Linked DNA regions of Sus scrofa. The protein of the gene in region 1 purifies or fractionates together with the protein of each later gene. This does not show direct contact. Links are inferred from orthologs where the notes say so. Each region holds a gene or a part of one and is shown in the gene's direction. Other genes may lie near its edges. The genes, in order: FYB and LCP2.

Region 1 (6,226 bases):
AGCCACAGCAACGCTGGATCTGAGCCGTGTCTGCGACCTACACCACAGCTCACAGCAACGCCAGATCATTAACCTGCTGAGCAAGGCCAGGGATCGAACCTGCAACCTCATGGTTCCTAGTTGGATTTGTTAACCACTGCACCACAACGGAAACTCCTTCCTTGATAAATTTTTTTATAGTGCCAGCAAATAAGTCTTTCACCTCCTTGGTCAGGTTTATTCCTAGGTATTTTATTTGGAGAGAAAAATATTATCTTCTATTTTCTTCTACGAAACTTATATTTAGGTCTTTGGTCTCTTGGCAGTTGACCTTTGAGGAGTTTGTAGAAATCCAAATTTGTTGTCTCTTTATGTAAAGTCAGTTTTCTCATCACTATATTCTGAAATCCACTCTTTTTTCATTAATTTATACTGCCACCTTTACTGTATTAGCTGTATTAGTGTGTTTATGTCTTTGTACACATGGTGTATTTGTGTGTGCATAATGTGTGTTTCTGTTTGCATGTGTGTAATTTGGGTATCTGTTTCTGAGCTCTCTGCTGTGTTCCATTGTCTATTTGTTTTAATATCAATACTACACTGTTTATTATTATTGTTTTATATTATGTCTTAATATTTGGTAATTTGTTGATGTTACTAAACACTTGAGCAGTAAAATATCTTTTTGAAAAATCCTATTAACTTGATTTGTTTGATACATGAAAGTAAATCCTTGGGAGCAAATAAATCAAAAACTGTGAGCTAGTTGTGATTTTCTGGTCATACCTTTGTTCTACACAAGCCCACAAAATCAAACATGTGTATTTTTCATAAAGAAATAAAGAGTGTCTTCATTATGTTTTGGTTTTTGCATTATTTTATGAAAGCCAATGAAATGATTTTGTAATTAAATTCCAAGATTCAAAAAAGCAATAATAGGGATCTAAACCACATGTTCTATTTTGTACTTACATACCTTGGGTAAAGCAAAAGTTCTGTTAGATTATAAACTGATTTGAATATTATATTGCATTTCATAATTCATGTTAAACCACTTCTTAATTAGAGTATATTAAATTGTATTCTTTTTTTAAATACTTTAGGTACTGGAAATCTCGATGAGGTCAGTTTTTCTTTCCTTCTTATATTACTGTCAATAGAATATTTAACCATTACTGTGATTCATTATCTTTTTTTCTTTTTTTGTATTTGAAGGGCCACACCCACAGCATATGGAAGTTCCCAGACTAGAAATCAAATCGGAGCTATACCCCACAGCCTACACCACAGCCACAGCAACACCAGATTCAAGCTACATCTGCAACCTACACCACAGCGCACAGCAACGCCAGATCCTTAACCCTCTGAGCAAGGCCATGGATCAAACCTGCGCCCTATGGATACTAGTAGGGTTCATTACTACTGAGCCACAATGGCAACTCTGTGATTCATTTTCTATTGGTAAAGGAACAAATGAAAATTCTTTGGAGTTAATGATGGTATTTTTTCACTTATAATCTTATTTTATCTGAAATGCTTGAGACATTAAACACCAATTATTACACTGACTCATAGTAATTTTGCAGCACTGAACATGAGCTCAGGTCTGGCTATATATCTGGATTATATAGCTGGATAGAAAATGGAATCTTTTTGTGTTTATTTTCTCAGTCTACTTCTAAAAGGAAAAAAATATGTTTTAAACATTCAAATTTATATGCAATTAAATTTATGTTTGTTTTACTGAGTATTTGAGCAATGAAATATGTGTATGTTCCCTTATTAAATAATTACAATTAATCATCATTGTTTTTCTTGACAGGAGCAAGAGAGTGAAGGAGAAACATATGAAGACATGTATGCATTACATTTTTTTACCATGATATTTTCCTTCTAAGATAAATGCAATGATTTGTAAGAGGGGGTGCAGATAGATATTCAACACTAGAGGAGAGACGCTCTATTGTTCAAATAAAGGGCTTATAATGATAACATTTATTTCAGTACAAGGGACTAAAGATTCTTTTCTTGTCTAAGGATTTTTCAGAGGACCCTGTTCAAATGCCGTTGTGAAAGGAGTTGGGAGCCTACACCCCACTAGATAGCCCACAGGCAGGGAATCCAGGGGTGGGAATCTGTATTTCCCACTCTTGGCAAGTCCTTGGGCAAATGCATTCATGTCCATGTAACACAATCCTCACCTAGGCAGCCCTTCGCCTCACAACTGTTCCATGAGAGACAGTTCAACACAGCACCAGATGCCAAAGTGTCGGCCTGCTAAAGCAGAAAAAATGTTTAAAATAGCTCCAAAAGAGACTTCTGGGTGGCCCAAGACTAAATTTCTCAGAAAATGAGGGAAAGTAGAAATGAGCATCGTATTTTATCTTTTGCTGATTCAGATACCTTAATTTTCTCTACCCAGTTCTTATTCAACTAATTCTGACTAAAAGTTTGGGAATTAAGGTTTGCACATACACATGTGTATGTGCACTTGTACCAGTGAGTGTGCACATGAGAGAGAAAGAGAGAGAGAGAGATGCATGCTATTCATGCCAACAGGCCTCAAGAGCAGGGCCTTTATGGGAGTTCCCGTTGTGGTGCAGTGGAAACGAAGCTGACTAGTATCCATGAGGACATGTGTTCAATCCCTGGCCTCGCTTAGTGGGTTAGAGATCCTGCAGCTCTGATTTGACCCCTAGCCTGGGAACTTCCACATGCTTCAAGTGCAGCCCTAAAAAGCAAAAAAAAAAAAAAAAAAAAAAAAAAAAAGAACAGGGTTTATGGACAGTGGTTTCTACTTGCTGGCATGAGTTTAGGGGTAGCAGAGCCTTTGGAAGGTATCCTCATGTATAGGCCTTCTGCCGTTTTTAAGAACCATCTCATACACCCAGGAATTTTGACAAGCCTTGGCTTTGTGCCTTCACCTGTACTTCAGACACTGCCTTCTGTGGTGGGCAGGAACTCTCTGGAGGGTGAGCCCTAACACATCCATGCCTGCAGATGCTGAAACAACCTAACAATGTTTATCCTCAGAGAAGCATCCAAAGAAAAAGAGAAGAAAAGAGAAAAAGAGGAAAAGAAGAGATTAGAGCTGGAGAAAAAAGAACAAAAAGAGAGAGAAAAGAAAGAACAAGAAATAAAGAAGAAATTTAAAGTAAGACCTCGCTTGCTAATGAATGAAAAGGAGTAACTTCTTTTTTTTTAATATAATGGGTTTTTTTTAATATAATGGCTTTTATTTTTTTCCCTTATAGCTGGTTTACAGAAGGAGTAACTTCTTTTTTTTTTAATATAATGGGTTTTTTAATATAATGGTTTTTATTTTTTCCCTTATAGTTGGTTTACAGTGTTGTGCACGTGTACATTTTTTTAAAAGGAGTTACTTCTTTATAACTTTCACACAAAAGGGGCACCATTTTTGAAACCTTACATATTTGGAAAATTTAATCATTGTTTTCAAGAGTAACTACCTTCATAACAGTAAGGTTTTTGTCCAATACTCTCCCTTATCTTGCACTAAAAATGCAATATAAGAAAATTCAAATAGGAGTTCCCACTGTGGCTCAGTGGGTCAAGAATCTGACAAAGTGTCCGTGAGGATGCAGGTTCAATCCCTGGCCTCACTCAGTGGAGTTAAGGATCTGGCATTGCTGAAATCTGTGGTGTAAATCACAGATGTGGCTCAGATCTGATATTGCTGTGGCTGTGGCATAGACCACAGCTGCAACTCCGATTCAACCCCTAGCCGGGGAACTTCCATGTGCCGTGGGTGCAGCCATAACAAGAAAAAATAAATTAATTTTTTAAAAGTTAAAAAAATAAAATTCAGATAAAATATGGCAGCTTATGAGTTGCATAAAATCCAAATAAAATATAGTTGGAGCTCAAGAAATTCTACGTCGGTTGAGTGAATGAATACTTGGTTGGTTCCTTAAGACCCTTCTTGACTCTCCTCATCATGCATTTCACGTTAACCTACTTATAATAGGAGCTCAGACCCACACACTTAGCTATTCCTGTGGCATGTATAAAGTGGGGCAAGGGACAGGAGTGTCTCTGGATCAACCATACCTGTCTCAGAATCTCCAAGCTACTCTGATGGCTGATGTCTAGACCTGACTTACATTTTTGCCTGTGTTTTAAGCCTGTGTACATATTGACTTCTGATACTTGCTCTTTCTCATCCCTCTTCATCTGCCTGGATTTCTGACCTCTGTCTTCTCTGATGTCTAATTGTGTGACTTCTATTACTGCCACCACTAAGACTGCACTTGCAGAACGTACTGGCCTGGCTAGTCTGTCTTTGAAAACATGACCCATCTGGTGTGGGTTTGATATGTCAGCTACATTTAGAGTGATTATCTGGGTGACAAAACTATTCTTCACTTTAAAAAGGATAACATTATCAAGTTTCCTTTGAATATTTAATTCTTCCAAAACATTTAATATGTGGTTTAAATTATAGAAATGTGATTTATATACAACTTCCCAGTATATTTCTTATAATAAAATAAAGATTCAACAGCAGGGCACAGGGAAAATGTAAAGCTTAGACTCAGTTGAACAGATGGGCATTGAAATTCCAGATGCACCTGTGAGTTATTTGATGGTGTTCATGTTACTAAGCTTCTCTGAACCTCAGGTTTTTATTTCTAAAGTGAGTAAACGATAGCTCTCCTGAAATTTTATTATGGCATTAAATAAAATAATGCACATAAGGTGCTGTATCATTTATAGGTTCTCATTCAGTTTTTCTTACTATATATAATTAAAACTAAGATTGCAGTATGAACATCAAAACATTTTAATCATACAGTCTATATGGTTACGAGCGTTTAGAAATTTTCAAGCGTAAAACATGAAAAACTAATTTCTTAAATGAAAAATTTTATAGCATATCTATTATAAAGAGATTGTTTATAGTTTTGAAGGAATTATATAAAGATTTTCATTGTGGTTTTTTTCTGAAAAATCACATTGTTTGGCTTATTCATTCAAATAATATTTGTTAGTAAGAAAAAATAGGATATAGAAATCATGCCACTAAATATGAATTTGTAATTTTTTTTCCCCCTCTTTGCAGCTCACGGGCCCTATTCAAGTCATCCATCAAGCAAAAGCTTGCTGTGATGTCAAAGGAGGGAAAAATGAACTGAGTGTCAAGCAAGGAGAGCAAATTGAAATAATCCGCATCACAGACAACCCTGAAGGGAAATGGCTGGGCCGAACAGCCAAGGGGTCCTGTGAGTGCCAGTTTCCTAAAACTTCAAAGTGTTTTCTTTTTGGGCCAATATGAATGTGAAAATTCTTCCAACAGGCATTACTTTCATAGGCATTAAGTTGCAAGTATGTTATAGGGTGGACAAAGATGAGAAGATTTTTAAAGGACGGGCATGGCTCCATTTTCACCTCATCTGTGTAATCTTTTTAGTGGGGGAAAAAAATGCAAACATTTATATTATTCCAGGGAGGAGCAAAGAGCATTAGATGCTTCACGGACGTTAAAAGACAAAAATGGTTCGTATGAATCACCTTGGAATCTCGAAAACTGATTCAAGGCTTATCCCAAACCACAACAGTGTTAAGACTTGACAAGGTACAGTGAGCGAGCCTAGGAAGTCTGTAAATCAGAATTGCAAGCAAAGAAATAAAGGGAAGATTTAGAGAGCAAATGTGCAGTGAATAACAACTCTAGGATATTTAAACTTCAGTTACTGAACATGAGTCATTCCCCTTTTGGTAGACGGCTATATTAAAACAACGGCGGTAGAGATTGACTATGATTCCTTGAAACGGAAAAAAACCTCTCTTGGTGCCCTTTCATCAAGACCTGTTGAAGATGACCAGGAAGTATATGATGATGTCGCAGAGCAAGAAAATGTTAGCAGGTATGTTAAATGCAAATTGTACAGCAAATCAAACAGTCTCTTTGTCAGAGATTGTGTATTTTTAAGGTGCCAGAATTTTACTTTCCACATTCTTACTGCTCTCTATCACTAAACTAAATTACCGTTTGCAGTCACTTCAATATGGTTGAAAAGTTGTTTGAAATTCCATAGTCTTTTGTTTTGCTCTTTGGTTATACGTATCCAATACTACTTGAACTATAATGGGCCATTTGCCGGGTGTTGCCAAAGGTGTTGTCAATCCGAAATGCCAGTTTTCAGTATTCATTCAGATGTGATCTTAGGGCTATGCCTAAAATAAATATGATTTTGTAAAATATGAAGCATGAAGTATAAAAGTT
Region 2 (6,948 bases), about 29 Mb from region 1:
AGCTTGCTGGGGAGAAGAAAGAGACGGGTGAGGAGCCCCCACCCGGCCCTGCCCCAGGCCACGGCTCCAATCCCTGTGCCTTACCTGCTCCCCACTCTCTGCTCTGCTTCAAGCTTGCAGCCTAGACTGATGCTCTCTGGAGGATGGCTGCGCGTGGGCCCCTGCCCTCCTCGCTGCACCAGCTCCTTGGCCGAGGGCTGTTTGCTGAGACCTCTGTCATCACGGCCCTTGTTACAGGTGTGGGGCCTGGGGCTGGACCAAGTGAGCTGGCCTGTCCAGGGCCTTCTTGGTCTCTCTGGTGTTCTGATCCTCTTTTGGGGACCAGCTTGCCCTGCCCCTAGGACTTCTGGAGGCTCTAGCCGGAGACAGGAGATGTGAAACTCCTGAGTGTTGGGCAATTACCGAGGACTGGGGAAGCAGAGAGGCTGCTGGCCGACGCAACCAGCTTCCCCTTTCGCCACCGTCTGTCCCGGATCAGCTGCTCTTTCTGGGCAGCTCCCCTGTGGGGAGGGCACACCAAAGCCTGCCTCACAGAAAGGGCTCTGTCCTCTTCTGAACGGGACCAGACTGACAACCCCACTTGCTCTCCATGGAAACTGCACAGGCTCTGGAGACAGAGTTGAGTTTGAAGCCCTGCTCCACCTAGGGCAATTTATGTCACATCTCAGAGCCCCACGGTGGCAGAGATGTAAGGGACAGGGGCTCTGGGCTCAGAGAGGGTTCCAGACAAGATCCTTTCATGCAATCTACATGCTGGAGCAAGGGGGGCAAGGAGCTCCACTTCTCTGAGCCTCAGCTTTCTCTTCCGGAAAATAGGAATTATAATAGTGCCAACAATAAATTAAGACAATGACTGCAGAGTCCTCAGCCCCCTCCTTGGCCCAGATGAAGGGCCCCACACATTGATTTGTGACAATTCTCATCACCGTCATCACTGCCACTCAGGCTCCTTAACCCCTGTGTCTCTCTTCTAAACAGGCTCCATGGATTGTCCATCTTGGCACTTTTATTGCATAATTCTGCCAGAAGAGCCTAAATATTTAGCTATACCTTAATTCCAACTTCTGCTTTCCTGTAGATGTTTTTTTTTCTTGGGAGTGTGGGTGAACACTACTTTCAAAATCGCTTTTCCTTCTAAGGCTGATGATCGTGAATGCTCCTTTCTACAGATGTGATGTGCTTTGTTCACAAAGTACAGCCCAACACACCCCCCACCCCCACCCCCACACGCATGCATACTCAGGTTCAGAATGCCTTCCCTCGGCATATTCCAAGGCCCTGCTTCAACTCCAACTAATCCGATTACATCTTCTTTGATTGCCCTACTTGGATGTGATTTCTCTCTCTTCCTCTCTTTTCAAATGGTTTTTTATCATTGGCAGCTCTCCTGGGGATTTGAAAAATGAAGTGACCTCTCCCACCAGTGGTGGAGCTTTGGAACAGCAGGCTATGCGCTGGAGAGCACGACCCATTATTAAGAGCTCTTAGGTTCCAGCCTTGTGAGCAGCACTTGGCCTGGGCTGCTTCAGTTAAGGTCCCCAGCATCCTCTGAGGTGAGGATGACATCAGCTCAGGTTCCTAGAGCGCTTCCAGGAAGGTCCTAAGCCTGGGCAGTGCAGACCTCATTGGCACAACCACCTGGCCAGGCAGGTGCACTGCAGTGAGGACGGGGCTGCTTAGATTATACATAAGATGGGAACTGTGCATGGCCAAAGCTCGCCTTGAGAAAGCTTCGGGAAGGCGCCACCTCGGGGGCAACTTAACATCACTCAGTAAGTGTAACAGAGCGTGGTTCATTTTTCAAGCCACTGGATAGATGGCCATCTCTGTGTGTGTGTGCACGGAGCACTAGATAGAGCGGCGAACTTGTGTTTGGAGGCTGTGATGGTGCACACGTATGTTTGCTTTTAGACACTGGACTCACCCTCAGTGAAGGAGAGTCTCCAATACAAGAAGCGTACAGAGTCTGAGACGGACTGAGAAAATAGGTGAGTCCCATTGCCTGTCTCCAGGGATGTGCTCTTTACATAAAATATATGGAGAAATTAATAATAAATACAATATATGGTGGGAACATGGTGACTATAAAATGTGACAGCATCAACAGCGACTGTTACTTCTTCCTTTAACTTTCCCCCCTTAAGTTTGTCTAGTTAAATGCATCTCAGTTTTACACGCACACAAAGCAGCAATTCTTCCGCGATCCCAGTTTACAGGTACGGAAACTGAGCTTCCTAGAGTTTAGGTCCTTGCCTGAGGTTGCACAGCAGGGAAACAGTCACATCAGAAATTAAGCGGGGTCTGCCCAGGGGAGCCCCTTCTCAGCCCTGGATGCCCCAGTCATCAACCCGCTCACAGAGGATGCTCTCATAGTATCTATAAGGAGGCAACCCAAAGAAGCTCAACTTGATCCTTCTGAGAAACCCAGTGGGGGGTGGAGGCATTAAAAGGTCACGTTCCTTCCCCTTCACTGATGGGGGAGATTGTCTACATTTTAGGTCAACCGTCAAGTTAGATTTCATCTGCAAAGACCCAGATGAGCAGGAATGTAGTTCAGACATACGAGTGCAGGGATTTTAATGGAAACTTCGAACTCCCCTTGATCACCCCTCCCTGGGCTGCGTGGACAGGCCAGTGGGGAATTACCAGCCCTGTAGTTCTCTCTGACTCTCAAGCCCCCAGAGTTGGGCTTCCTTGTTTACTTATTTAGAGCCCGGCAGAGGAAGTGGTAAAGGAAACTTGCTGAGTCGTTTTCTGAGAAGAGACCATATTTGTTCGCAGAGGAAGCTGTTGCTTTCTGGGATCGGGCTACAGCAGAAAGGACGTCTGCTCCAACGAGGCTTTTCCAGAGAGTACCTGGGAGTTGGAAGAGCCAAGGACGCCTCTGTGCTCTGGATTTGGGGTTCTCTGTCCATGGGCGCAACAGCCACACGCAGCTCGTGAGCAGCCATGGCATTCAGGAACGTGCCCTTTCGCTCCGAGGTTCTGGCCTGGGACGCCGACAGCCTCGCAGACTATTTCAAGAAGGTGAGCCTTACTCTTTTGTGAGTGGCGGGGCTGGGGAGGTACTTGAGGATGGAGCCTGGGCAGAACCTGAGAGGCGTGACAGATAGCAGCGGAACATCCAGCCCGGTGCCATCTCGCCAGCCAAGCCAGCACCATAGATAGACATTTGCTGCTGAGTGCTGCTGGCAGTGCCTTCTGGGGAGAAGAGAGGTCTCAAAGGGACACGGACCTCCTAGGTGCCAGGGCTGGAGTTTGTGCTCTTTAGGCCCGGTCCCACTCAGCTCCCTACAGGATCGCCGTCCTCCCTGCTCAGCTGCAAAATAAGCTCAGGGAGGCTAACCAGCCCAAAGCCCCAGGGACTACATATGACAGAGGCCGGATTCCAGTCACACCTGTCTGGTTTCAAAGTCCCTGCTCTGAGACTCAGAACTGTGGTACCTGCTAGTGAGGCTACTTGCTAGAAAGTGGAGACAAGGAGTCTTGGGGGACAAGAGAAGAAAGACGAGGTCAGAGGCTATGATGAACGATGCTGGAGAGGGTGTCTGGGCAAGTCATTGCTCGTGACCTTGAAAGAGAACTTTTCAGGCCCTTACCTGGACAGAGTCTCACTGGAGCTGTATGAGGGTCTTTTGAGGCAGCCCAGGAGACTGACATGAGCCCTAGGTTATAGCTAGGGAAACTGGGGTCCCTAAAGAGAAAAAGATTTGCTGGGGTGGGGGTCAGAGGCCAAGGTTGTGGCGGAGACCAGGGTGTTTTTGTCCTGCCTTCCAGCCTTGAAGATGCTCAAAGATCCCTGTGCTTGGTCATCTGCTGGTGGGGCTGCAGTGGCACATCTGCGTGGGCAGATCCCAAGCCACCTGACTCAGTTAGGTACCCTCTGTCCTTGTCCAAGGTATACGATGTCTTATGAGGGACATTTGAGTTTCTAACACCCCATCTCTGGAGGGTGACATCAAATTCGGTTGATACTCTGAATTATAACAAAGATAAGACTTTTAAGTGCAGAACTTAGAGGTTATTAAGTCGATGTTCTGTTTTCCTTGGGGGTGGCCTTGGCTCCCTGGGACACATAGCCCAGCTTGGGGTCTATATGGTACCAGGGTATTTCCTGTTACTGCTGTTCTTGCCTAAGAAAAATGTGAAAATGTTGAAGCGGGTGTGGCATGATAGAGGCACAGCCCACAGATCCTGTTACTTGCTGGGTTTTCTTTGTGCATGTCATTTCTGTTATTTTTACCTCCAAAAGATCATAAAAACTTAGGTTTCAGCACTGCGGGTACAAAGATCATTGAGATAACCGACTTTCGAAGGGTGTTTTTAAATACTTTCCTTAAATGTAGACCAAATACATTAGAGCCACATGTGAAATTTACTAAGGTGCTCTAAAGTGGCATATTGCCTCAATAAAGAAAGGAGAAAAGAATTAGGAATTACTGAGGCATACTTGGGGATGGATTGAGAAGCAGAGACAGGCCCCATCTCCAATGTGATAGGAATTACATAACCCTGTACAGCAATTGAAGAATTCATGGGTAAAGTTCCCCTTAGTACAGGGAGATAGACTACATGTCAGAATGATTCAGGGTGAAGGCTCTCTGCCTGAGTTGGGGGAAGGAAGAGTTTTCTTTGTGGAGACCTCAGACTCTGGGTAGAGTCCACAGCACCTGGACAGGTTCCCTCTCCCAGCAGGAAAGGTCTGAGGGCAGGAATGAGGAGACCGAGGGACACCTGGGAGCCAGGAGGTCCCAGCATCCCCACAGACGCAGAGAGACACTCTTCAAACCCTCAGCACCTCAGTTCCCCCAGAGAGCAAATGCCACGTGAACTGACCATGGAGTCATCTGGGGAAAGACCTTAGCCAGCAAAAGTCCTATTGGCAGCTATGACTTCTAATGAAGCACTGGGGGCCTGCCCCCTTGGAAGTACCTCCCTAGCCAGCTCTGGAGCCAGACACACCTTGGTTTGAATCTTGGCTTTGCCACCTGCTGGCTCGGTGACCTTCCCTTGGTTACTTCACCTCTCTGTGCCTTGGCTTTCTCATCAGTAAAAGAGAGATCCTAACGGTGACTAACCTCACAGGATCACTGGGAGAATCAAAGGCAATGCATGTGTGAGGCCTTTAGCAGAGGGGGGCCCATTCGTGTTTGATCTTCCCTTTCTCCTGCTCTGCTCACTGGACCCTCGCTGGGGACATCATGCAGATCACTGGGCCTTTGTGTCTCACCATCTCAGCTACGTGCAGCTCATCCTCTGTCTGGAACGCAGGCCTCTGAGGACTGAGGTCATGTTTTATGTCTCTTTAACTCTTGGACTTCTTTTGGCACGGCAGGAAGACATCCTGGGCCATGCAGTGGAGGAGACTTTGGCTTAGAGCTATGAGGGGCTTTTTTTCTTTTTTCTTTTTAGGGCCACACCTGTAGCATATGGATGTTCCCAGACTAGGGGTTGAAAAGGAGCTATAGCTGCCAGCCTACACCACAGCCACAGCAATGCAGGATCCTAGCCGAGTCTGTGACCTACACCACAGCTCATAGCAACACCAGATCCGTAACCCACTGAGCGAGGCTGGGGATCAAACCCACATCCTCATGGATACCTGTCAGGTTTGCTACCGCTGAGTCACAATCGGAACTTCCAGAGAGCTGTGAGTTCTAATCCTGGTTTTGTCCCCAGCTCACTGTGTGACCTTAGGCCAGTCCCTTCCCTTCTCCGGGCCTAGCTACAACACTAGGGACCTCCCCCAGACCAGTGCCAACCAAAGCTGAGCACTCAAAAGAATCATCTAAGCATATGATAGAAATACTGCTGCCCCCAGGCCTAGATATTACTGGCTCAGAATCAAACTCCCAGGCAGGCCCCAGTCTGCAGGGCTGTGTGTCTATCTAGAGTCCAAGCCAGCATTCTGCAAAATCAGAGAGTCAACTGATAATGATGAGAAAACAATGAATTAAAGGCAACTGAGGAGTTCCTGCTGTGGCGCAACAGGATTGGCAGCATCTTGCGAGTGCTGGGACATAGGTTCAGTCCCTGGCCCAGGGCGGTGGGTTAAGGATCTGGTGTAGTTGCAGCTATGGCTTAGGTCGCAACTGCGGCTCGGATCTGATCCCTGGCCCGGGGACTCCATATGCTGCTGGGTGGCCAAAAAAGAAAAAAGAAAAAAAAAAAAAAAAAAAAAGCAGCTGAATATTCTAAGAACCATTTTACCCCACAGTATGTAGATAAAAGGGGTGCTTGGCGTTCCACAGAGGCTGCTTGTTTTCTACATGACCCCTAAATCAGCTTCTCCTGAGCTTTCTCATAACCATCCTACCCTAGCAGGCCTTGAGGTTAGAGCAACTGCATTCACGCTTTAGATGTGCTGGCTGTAAGAAAAGGCCAAGATTTTAAGTTTGCTCTGAAATAAGGCGGCCATACAAACTGCAAGCCCCATCCTTGTGAAGAGAAGCTAGGATTCTCAAGACAAGCATTTAATCTTAAATACTCTAGCCTGAGACGTCAAATCATTTAGAGATATTTCACATGCAAATGCTTATGCTGTTGAGGATGAAGGAAAACAGGCACCTGATTCAATTGTTAATTGAGGGGACCCTTTAGAAAAGCAACCCAGACCCTAGAATGATCATTCCTGTTGATTCTACAACTCCAATCCGAAAATCTAAATTAAACCATTTAAAACAGAAGAAAAAAACTGTATGCAGGAGACTATCCACGACGTTCTAGACTGTGGTCTGCATGGGATGTTCATCTGCACTTAAATCTGTTCTCTTATTGGAGTTCCCGTTGTGGCGCAGCGGAAGCGAGTCTGACTAGGGGCCATAGGGTTGCAGGTTCAATCCTTGGGCTCGTTTAGTGGGTTAAGGATCCGGCGTTGCCATAAGTGGTGGTGTAGGTCACAGACGTGGCTCGTGGCTCAGGTCCTGCATTGCTGTGGCTCTGGTGTAG

The links.
Region 2: the proteins of FYB (region 1) and LCP2 purify together in Homo sapiens (co-immunoprecipitation; 6 studies listed by BioGRID and IntAct, with this or other methods). This does not show direct contact. The link is inferred for Sus scrofa from reciprocal best matches to the Homo sapiens genes FYB1 and LCP2.

Annotation. Positions count from the first base shown.
Region 1 is NC_010458.4:24,363,662-24,369,887, reverse strand, and holds part of FYB (FYN-binding protein), read left to right. Parts: intron 1-1,082; coding exon 1,083-1,102; intron 1,103-1,801; coding exon 1,802-1,836; intron 1,837-3,012; coding exon 3,013-3,133; intron 3,134-5,062; coding exon 5,063-5,222; intron 5,223-5,722; coding exon 5,723-5,867; intron 5,868-6,226. UniProt on the Homo sapiens protein: Acts as an adapter protein of the FYN and LCP2 signaling cascades in T-cells. May play a role in linking T-cell signaling to remodeling of the actin cytoskeleton. Modulates the expression of IL2. Involved in platelet activation.
Region 2 is NC_010458.4:53,694,500-53,701,447, forward strand, and holds the start of LCP2 (lymphocyte cytosolic protein 2), read left to right. Parts: upstream 1-2,474; 5' UTR 2,475-2,949; coding exon 2,950-3,027; intron 3,028-6,948. UniProt on the Homo sapiens protein: Adapter protein primarily involved in signaling pathways within T-cells, as well as other immune cells such as platelets, mast cells, and natural killer (NK) cells.